Schizosaccharomyces pombe: one gene and its partner. The gene in region 1 interacts genetically with each later gene. Each region holds a gene or a part of one and is shown on either strand. Other genes may lie near its edges.

Region 1 (4,872 bases):
CGTGTGGAAACTGTCAGTTTTGTAAAGGATATTAGTAACTTTCGTAAAACTTTAAAAAAAACCTTTAATTCTTCTCCAGACCTGCAAGCTGTGTATCCCAAACTGAAGGGAGGTGGAAACGGTGTTCAATGTCTGCCTCTGTTATGGCGTCAAGACATAAGATTTGGCATGGCAAGGGACCTTGATTCGTCTTTTGCGGACGATGATGACGATGATGATGAATCATTGAACATGTCTAGAGATCTTGCATTAGACGATTTGGAAGACGATTCCATTCCAACTTTGGATAATATAAATATCCCTACGGTTACTGGATTGCGAAACATTATTTCGGATGTTTTGCTAGACGTCCTCTTGTATTGTCAGCCAAATTATCGAGATAAAATTTTGGCAGCAGTGGTGAAGCGACTGAATCGTCTGTACAATCTGTACAAAAAAAATGTCCCCTCATTTAATGGCCATGTTTCACTTCTTGGACATTCCTTGGGGGCTCTAATTTTATTTGATATTATACGTTACCAAGGAAATATCAAATACTCAAAACTGCAACTTGACTTTCCTGTTGCAAACTTTTTCGCCTTAGGTAGCCCATTGGGATTATTTCAAATGCTGAATGGTAAAAAAATTGCAGGTCCTATTCCTAAAACGAATTTGACTCGCAGTCTAAGTTATTCTGAGCAAAGTTTCGATTCGGGTGTCTCGATCCTTAGCTGTCAAAACTTCTATAATATATTTCATCCCACTGACCCCATCAGTTATCGTGTAGAGCCATTGGTGGTTAAGCAAATGGCCCGCTTAAAACCTCAGAAAATTTCTCACTTTCGCCCTCATCAAGACCTTTCAAGTTCTGGTGTAGGGCATAAAATTGCCGGTGGTGCTCTGAATGTTCTTTCTGGCCTTCGATCTGGTATTGCTAATACCCTAATCTTAAAATCATTGAGTTATGCTTCTGTGTTTAACGAGGCCACCGCTGATTCTCACGATGAATCACAGGGAGCTGAAAACATTCGGGATTGGCATATTGATGAGCGAATGTATCGATTGAACAAAACGGGACGTATAGACTTCATGCTACAAGAAGGTGCACTAGATACTTCTTATAGCTATGTCTCAGCAATGAATGCTCACTCTGAATATTGGAAAAATGTTGATCTTGCTCATTTTATTCTAACCCAATTACTTTAATACTTTTTCGAATTAATGCAATGGTAAACATTCTTTCCTTCCTTTTCTTATCTAAATTTTATTTTAATGTTTTACCTTTTATGTACGACTAATTCAAATGAGTTTAATAGATGAACTTTCCAAACAAATTTTACCTATTGATTTAAGAGAGAAGGCTATTAAAAGCGCCCATGACTTTGTAGATAGATTGATTGCTTGTATAAAATTTGACACAGTAATCCTCCTAATTTTTATGCGAAAACAATAAATCTTTTATAGCTTTGGCATCTGCTTGCAGGTACAAAAGTTGGGGTAAAAAAGAACATTCCAATATCATTTTGATAGTAGTTGCTTTAGTTTCATAGCAAAATTTTCCAAGAACAGGACATCAATTTCACCTTCTCATCCTCTAGCATTAAAATGTAAAAAAAAAAGGTAGCGATAGAAAAAAAACACTAAATAGCAAATTAAGCTTTTTTCTACTACCAAGGACTCTTAAAAAGTCCAGTTTCTATATACGTTGACCATCTCGTATTTCTGTTAGAGACAACTTAAACAAACGCAACGCCATTCAGTCGTTGGAAGAAGTACTATTCGTTCTTACAACGATAACGACATGCTGTCGAATTTGCTGCTTTTTTCGGACCCTTGTTGAGTTTCTTTGTTCCCCACCTTTTGAACATATATATAGACCCCTCGATGGCTTAGTTGATTTACTGAACCTCAACTCCGAAAAGCGTATAAAGTCGGGCAAATCTCAATTTCTTCATTTTTAATACTTTAAGAAGTCATAAAACGTGTTAAATTAGTTGATACACTGTTTTATTTGATTGAAATTTGAGATTAAGTTGGTTATTGTGGCTTGTCCTTACAAACTGTATGCTGATTTAGTTTGGAGCTCTTGTTTGGTTACCAAGTGCTTTATTAGCACGGTCGTTTAATTTTGTAAAAGTTTTAAATTTTAGAATAATAGTTCTTTAACTATTGCATTTCGTATCTGGCTCAAATGGATTTCAACAATATTCCCCTTGCGACCATTAAGTCCAGCGATGATAAGGGTAAAGACTTTATCGTGGAAATGACCACTCGTCCTTCTGAAACCAAGAAGAAGGTTCCTTTTTCTGAGGACATGCGTGAAATCCCTTCTTTACCGAACGAGGAAGAAGCGAATGCAACGGATCCACAAGCCAACGAGGTCGCTGATGAAAACGGTGAAGGATTTGAAGCTGAAAAAATCAGTAGTTGGATTTGGGTGCTGTCGGCTGTTGCAGGTATTTCTGGTTTGCTGTTCGGTTATGACACTGGTGTTATTTCAGGCGCTCTCGCTGTCCTCGGTAGCGATCTTGGTCACGTCCTTAGCTCTGGCCAAAAAGAATTGATTACCTCTGCCACTTCCTTCGCCGCCCTTATATCTGCAACCACTTCAGGATGGCTTGCTGATTGGGTCGGTCGCAAACGGCTTTTGCTATGTGCAGATGCAATTTTTGTCATCGGATCTGTTATTATGGCTGCTTCGCGGAATGTTGCAATGATGGTTGTTGGTCGTTTTATTGTAGGTTATGGAATTGGTCTTACTTCTCTTATTGTCCCAATGTATATTACTGAGTTGGCTCCTGCTCGTTTGCGCGGACGACTTGTCATCATTTACGTGGTCTTCATTACCGGTGGGCAGCTGATTGCCTACTCACTTAATGCTGCTTTTGAACATGTACATCAAGGTTGGAGAATTATGTTTGGAATTGGTGCGGCCCCCGCCTTAGGTCAGCTTATTTCGCTTTTCTGGACTCCGGAGTCTCCAAGGTATTTGCTTAGACATAACCATGTTGAAAAAGTCTACAAGATTTTGTCTCGAATCCATCCCGAAGCAAAGCCAGCTGAAATTGCATATAAAGTCTCATTGATTCAAGAGGGCGTCAAAGTTGATTTTCCTGAAGGGAATAAGTTTCAACATTTCTTTCATTCTTTAAAAGTACTTTTCACGGTTCCTTCAAATAGAAGATCCCTTTTTATTGGTTGCTTCCTTCAATGGTTCCAACAATTTTCTGGCACTAATGCAATTCAATATTTCTCTGCAATCATTTTCCAAAGTGTTGGATTTAAAAATTCTATCTCTGTCAGTATTGTTGTCGGTGCTACTAACTTTGTTTTCACAATAGTCGCATTCATGTTTATTGACCGTATTGGAAGAAGACGAATTTTGCTTTGTACTTCAGCCGTGATGATTGCAGGTTTGGCGCTTTGTGCAATCGCTTATCATTTTCTTCCTGCAGACACCACCCAAAACACAAACAGTGGTTGGCAATATGTCGTATTAGCATCCATCATTATTTTCCTTGCTAGCTATGCTTCTGGAATCGGAAATATTCCCTGGCAACAAGCCGAATTGTTTCCTATGGAAGTCAGAGCCCTTGGTGCTGGATTCTCAACTGCTATCAACTGGGTTGGAAATCTCATCATTAGTGCTTCCTTTTTGACAATGATGGAGTCTATCACACCAACGGGTACATTTGCATTGTTTGCTGGATTTTGTTTTGTTGGACTCGTGACAAGCTACTTTACTTATCCCGAACTTGCAGGAATGTCTATTGAAAATATACACAAGCTGCTTGAAAAAGGTTTTTGGCAAGCTGTAAAGGAAAGTACTAAACGCGTTAGAAAAGGAAGAATAGATGAAGCTTGAGATGAAATACCCATTTCCCCTATAAAGCTTTGTTTACTTTGTTTTCTTGGGAAAATACAAATGAAGCATATTCCATTTGTACCCTTTAGAAATTAAATTTTATAATCACAGCCAAATCTTCATTTTTATGAGAATATCTACACACCAATTGTTACGATTATTGATGTTTTTATTTAATAATCTACTCAAAATTACTTATTTTAAGCAATTCATAGTAATTATAATTAAATAATATTTCTTTAGATTAGAGTATATCAAAGCGATGTAATCAGTGTTTCAAAGTGTTTTGCAATATTAAATACATGAACTTACAGTGAAGTCATTTTTTCTAAGCTTTTACCGCGTATGTTCGGTAACGACAAAAATTTAAAAATATATACGATAGAAACGAAGAGCTTTCAACTCTTTAAATTTGTCAAAAAAGCTGCAAACGTTTAAATTCCGAAAATTTTAAACTAGGTCAAGGTATATTTAGGGCCATCTCCTCCTTGAGGGGTTTTCCACTGAATACCTTGTAAAGGGTCCTTAATGTCACATGTCTTACAATGGACACAATTTTGAGAGTTTATGACAAAACGCTTACCGTATGAAGAAGCTTCATCATTAACATATTCATACACCCCAGCAGGGCAGAATTTGTTTTCAACGCCCTTATATGTTTCAAAACATGATTTACGGTCTTTAGGACGGTGATCGAATAGGTGACAGGGTTGGTTTTCAGCATGCATTGTTGCGGAACGGGATACCGAAGTTGGAATATCGAAAGAAAGAACGTTATCCGGTTTGGGATAATTGATAGGTTTATATTTTGATGCAGACTTTGTAGCCTTTGCATCTCCTCCTTTATGCTTTAATGTCCATGGGACACGACCCTTCAGTACATATGCTTCCACGGCAGAATAAGCCATACCACCATAATTACCAAGAAATGAGTGAAAAGATGGTCGAATGTTTCTAACAGAATAAAGTTCTTTGAAGACGTACGTGTTCTTTAGATTTTCTTCATAATCGTTTAGAAGAAGAGGCTT
Region 2 (5,446 bases), on another chromosome or scaffold:
CGGGACACCGCTAAAGCCATAATGGCATAGAAGGAGACAACCCAAGCACCTTTTGTTTTTTCTTTATCGGAATAAAAGTTATCAAAAAGGTCCATAAAATTTTCTAAATCAAATAAAGGCCAACATGAATTTATATAGCGAAAATACCACTCAACACACCGATTGGCCCATGCTTTTTCTGGTACATTGCGATATACACTAATCCATGTAGGGAAACTTTGAGGAAACAGATCATTCATGGTGTAATCCTTGGGATGAATTTGGAAAATCCCTGGATACCTTCTCATTTTTTCATCTATTAGAAAACCGCAGTTTTGAATTTGCTGTACAAGCGATGGTATCTCGTTCGACGTTTCTCTCTTTTCTGACAGATCGTAGTTGAGCAAATTTAGCATATCGTCAATCCGAGATTCCATATTAACAGATCTTTTGCTTAACGTTATAATATGATTTCTCAGTTCAATCATTTCGGTGTACTCTCGAGTAATACCAGCTGTTGACTTCTTTACAGGCGGCTGCCCGACGACGATATGTGGGTCATCCTTGTCTACGTTTGGCTTCTTTACTCTTTTTCTTTTATTATACTTGCACGTTTCTGAGTACACTACACAATTCTGGCATTTTGGCAATTCGCCGTTACACCGAAGTTTTCTTTGCCTGCACAAGTCGCAAGCTGTGCTAATTTTTTTTATTGGTACCATTGTTTGCACATTTAAAAACTTCCAACAACACAGTCTTTTAGGCGTTTTTTTGGAATATTAAATTTTTTTGAAACTACTCGTACAGGGCACCTTGCAATATATACAATTTTGGAATTTTGTGCCATTGATAGTAAACAATGATTATCGCCGATCGATTTTTTCGCTTAATTTCGAGTATATTTCAATGACGCGAGCGCCATGATAATAAATGAACATTCCTTAAATGGGACAGATAACAAAATAATCAATCCAATTTATGGGTGAGAGAATTGTTCCTTACTGCTTGGTATCAATTTCAACCTGCCGTTCTTCATGTGATCTTACAAAAATCCATTAGTAACATAGCTTCATCATTATAAATACCATGGTAAACAGCCAAAAAATGATAATAAACAAGTCTAATCAAAAAGAATAAATGTGAATATTAATATAATGAATAGGATCAAAAGATAATGTTAGGATTTGGAGCTGAAAGCAATGGGAAGCAAAACTTTTGAATGCTACCAAATTATTCCGAACAACTACTTAAATGAAAAAATCTTTAACAATTGCTTGATATCAAACAACTTTCATTTTAGCTCGGAAATTCATTTTTAAAGGCATGAAATAAATATTGGAAGGAGCCATAATCATTCACATTTTTTGTACGTTAATTAATAACACTATGTTTCAATGTCCAGGCTTACTTATGTTAATTTAAATAAATGTGTTGAATCCCAGTTAATTGCCTAATGAGATTTCGACTTTGAGGCATTATTTACTACCATCCGAGGTTTTCAATCAGGTAGTTAAAAAAACATAAAACAAACATCAAAAGAGGTATATGATAATTAGAGTTACATATACTGTATCATTAGATACGTTGTCTCGAAAAAATGAGCTTAGTGTGGCACCAATCTTTTTTTCTTTTCTTGCAATTTACTAGACTCCACGCAGGTGGTCATTTTCAAATACTGTTTGTTTCTTTAGCTGGGCAATTTTTACCGGTAAAGTGCGCACATTTTCCTATCCAGCTCGTAAATATATTTCAAGCATTTTACTTCTCCTCTTTTGTTAACCACAGAGAATAGATAATTAATACACTTTCTTTTCTTATCTCTACAGAATCAAGTCGATCAGGTATACATTTTTACGACGAATCACTTTGAATATTATTTGTAGCAGAAAAACCATCGTCTATAAAATTTTGAAACTTCCTTTAATTGAACATCATAATTTTATAGTCCCGAAATATAACTACTATACATTAACCAACAAATGTTCTTCCCTATTTTTAAAGAAGGTATTTATAATAGCTCTTCCTTTTAAAGATGACTGCTTCACTGGCTTTGTATAGAATTTTTTTTTAAATTTGAATAGCGAAATGTACCATATTCGCAATGTCAATTATAGCACTATTAGGAATACGGAGTAATTATTTAACGCAATTTTGTATATGTACGTTGCAGATTATGTGTTTACTAAATGCCAAACGTAGAAAAATCCGTGGCTTTCAAATATCCTCTTTTTTAATCCATTATAGGCTGTTTTATTGCCTTTTGACCTATTTTAAAACAAAAAATCAATAATTTTCATCTAGAAACCACCAAAATATTACTTTTAAATTGTTTTTAATCACTTTAACGGGCTCGCTTTTAAAAAGCGATCAATTCAAGACCTTTGAGAATTATGCCGGAAGCATTAAATGAAAATGTTTCAGACACTGCATCAAATGGGCCTGTAGCAAAAACTAGAGCACCTCCTAATACTTCCTTTCGCCAACAAAGGATCAAGTCTTGGCAGCCATTGTTAACCCCTAAAATCGTGCTTCCACTTTTTTTTGTGTTAGGAATTATATTTGGTCCATTAGGAGGAGGATTACTTTATGCTAGCTCTATCGTACAAGAGCTAGTTGTTGATTATACGGATTGTGAGACTCTGGCTTCTTACGATGAATTCTCTGCCGTCCCTTCCAAAAAGTACACAGCTTCATTTGATCAATCAGGAACTATTGGATTTGACAAAGAATCAACCTACTGGAAACTGGAGAAAATTCTCGATAAAGATCTAGATATGGACGTTAACTACTGCATCATAAGATTCACAGTCCCATCTGTTTTAAAGGCGCCTATTTTCATATATTACCGTTTGACAAATTTTTTTCAAAATCATCGACGGTATGCTAAAAGTGTAGATGAAAAACAACTACAGGGAGTGGCTTTAACTGCTGACGAAGTTAAAGGAGGCAATTGTTTTCCTTTGGAAGTTAACGAAGATGACAAACCATATTATCCATGTGGTTTGATTGCAAATTCTCTTTTCAATGACACTTTTTCGTCACTGAGACTGCTGGATGATAATAGTGTTTACACTTTTTCTACCAAAAATATAGCTTGGGCTTCAGATAAAAGACGATTTTTGAAGACAAACTACAGTCCTGATGATGTTGCACCTCCTCCCAATTGGGTTTTGCGTTATCCTGATGGTTATACTGAATCAAACATGCCAGATTTGTCAACTATGGAAAATTTACAGGTTTGGATGCGTACAGCTGGTCTGCCTACTTTCAGTAAGTTGGCTATGCGGAACGATAACGACGATATTTTTCCAGGAACATACGAAATAAAAATTGGGTTGTTTTTTCCTGTTAAGAGCTTTGACGGTACCAAATCTCTGGTTCTTACGACGAGATCGGTGCTTGGAGGAAAGAATCCATTCCTTGGAATAGCTTACATTGTTGTCAGTGCTGTTTGTGTTGTGTTAGGTACCGTTTTTACATTAAGGCATTTTATCCGTCCAAGAAAGCTTGCCGATCATCGTTATTTAAATTGGGATTCTGAAGAAAATAATTTAGCACCCCATTTGAGTGATCGTCCTTAGGTTTGTCGCGATTGCCGACTATTTACAACTCTGGGTTGTAATTGCAAAATTAGTTTCCTCATAGTAGAAGGAGTTTTCTCTGTCTTCTTTTTTTTTCTACGCCTTCCGTTGTCTTTAGATTTCTTTTATTTATCAAAGGGTAGAACTATGTTGTTTTAGGTTTGATGATTACGATTGCTAATTCTGACATTCATATTACATCTTTTTGCTATACTCAATTTCATTAAAATATGACTTTTGAGGTATTTTGATGGACCCCTAATTTTCTTCATTACTGGCTTTTCAAAGGTAGTATGTGTTTTATATTTTGCTACTCAAATTAGTTTATTGTAACACACTAAATTTATCATTCAAAAGATCTTTGGAATGCCTTTACATGTACCATTCGTTTACATTTCATTCTTTTACGCTTTTCTCTTTAGTCTCATGAAACTGAGATACGGATTTTTTTTATCAATTAATAATTCGCATTATTAGCAGAATTTGTTACTGAAGTGTGCTAGCAGGTCATAACTGCTATTCTTTAGGATAAAATTGTTATGCGTGCTTACTTTGGAAACTCTATACCTGTTAATGATACTTTGGTTTAACATACTGATGAAAATATTACGCTGTTTGTAACAATCATAAATTTTTGCATTTTTCTTTTATACTAAACCGCTATTTGCTTTCCTCTGCTGCTCCATTTCTTGTCGTTCAAACCGTTTAAAGCCGTTGTTGACTATGACATTTGTATAATTAAAATTAAAAGCGTTGTAAAAAGGAAATGCTGGTGCGTAAAAGAATGCACTTGTGTATTGAAGTGTTGTGATTTGAGGACAGTCTACAATAGGTATGGCGATAAAAGTAAAGTAAATATCACTACTACCTGAATTTTGCAAGCTTATTGATATACGTGAATTGAACATTTATACCATGCCATACTGTATCATGTCAACAGGTCTAATTGGAATACTACGAAAAAAAATCATCTCTCGATATACAAAAGTCAGCACATGCTTGGCTGTATAGCGAGAACAAAAACAGAAAAAGACGATTTTGGTTATTCCTACAGACTATGCTAGCAATTAACTTATGGAGAAGTGTGTTCTTTAACCTTGCCCTACATGTAAAATATCCACTTGTAATTTAAAAAGATATTTCACAAAGTAAATTTTTCTTTTGACAATATTACAACCTTAGCTAATTTACTTTTTTTCTACCCATTGGATTTACTAATTTAAGAACGTGAGAAGCCATAAGTCAATATGGAATGAAGCAATATCTTATTGACAAGAAGTTTTCGTAGTTAACTTATTTGAGGAGTCTATTGAATACACACTGGGTTGACAATTAATTGCTCTATGTCAAATCGACTGGGGAATTAGCAATAACCATACTAATGTGATACAATGAAATGTAAATTTACAATTAAATAAAAGTACTTAATATTTCAAATATTAGCAACTAGCCGAAATTTTGGAATCATTAGCCAAAAAAAAAATTAACGCGCTTTAGCAAATGTTCTGGGTTGTAGATTTGCAGATAAGACACTCTAACGAGACTATAAGTTATCCAAGGCCGGTTATTTGATATTTAACATTTTCACTAACTTCAAACTGTCCTTTTAAAAATGGCGGGATTGGAATCAAAAGTTTCTGATATGAAAATAAAATCAGACGTTGTTTTTTATATAGACGAAGCTTCCGGTAATGATGAAACTGGCAACGGAAGTCAAACATCACCATTTAAAACTGCAATCCATGCTTTGGAAACTGATGCCAACTGTACGATCTTTGTCAAAAAAAATGGCAGTGAAGAGTTTGAGCCTATAACCACCAACGCTTTAAAGAAGGCGAAAAAGGGAGTTGAACAAGCCGCTAAGAAAAAGGCTAAGGCAGCTGAAG

What was found.
Region 2: of itr2 (region 1) and mug89, a mutation in one rescues a mutant of the other (synthetic rescue), as found in Schizosaccharomyces pombe (one large-scale study listed by BioGRID).

What each region holds. Positions count from the first base shown.
Region 1 is NC_003424.3:1,391,726-1,396,597, forward strand, and holds itr2 (plasma membrane myo-inositol transmembrane transporter), read left to right. Parts: upstream 1-1,879; 5' UTR 1,880-2,170; coding exon 2,171-3,844; 3' UTR 3,845-4,095; downstream 4,096-4,872. Other genes in the region: SPOM_SPAC20G8.02 (DDHD family phospholipase), read left to right, coding at 1-1,185; cir2 (electron transfer flavoprotein-ubiquinone oxidoreductase), read right to left, coding at 4,300-4,872. UniProt on the Schizosaccharomyces pombe protein: Transporter for myo-inositol.
Region 2 is NC_003423.3:303,415-308,860, reverse strand, and holds mug89 (phospholipid-translocating ATPase complex Lem3 family subunit), read left to right. Parts: upstream 1-2,163; 5' UTR 2,164-2,369; coding exon 2,370-3,560; 3' UTR 3,561-4,946; downstream 4,947-5,446. Other genes in the region: SPOM_SPBC1773.12 (transcription factor), read right to left, coding at 1-701; asparagine--tRNA (Asn) ligase Nrs1, read left to right, coding at 5,173-5,446.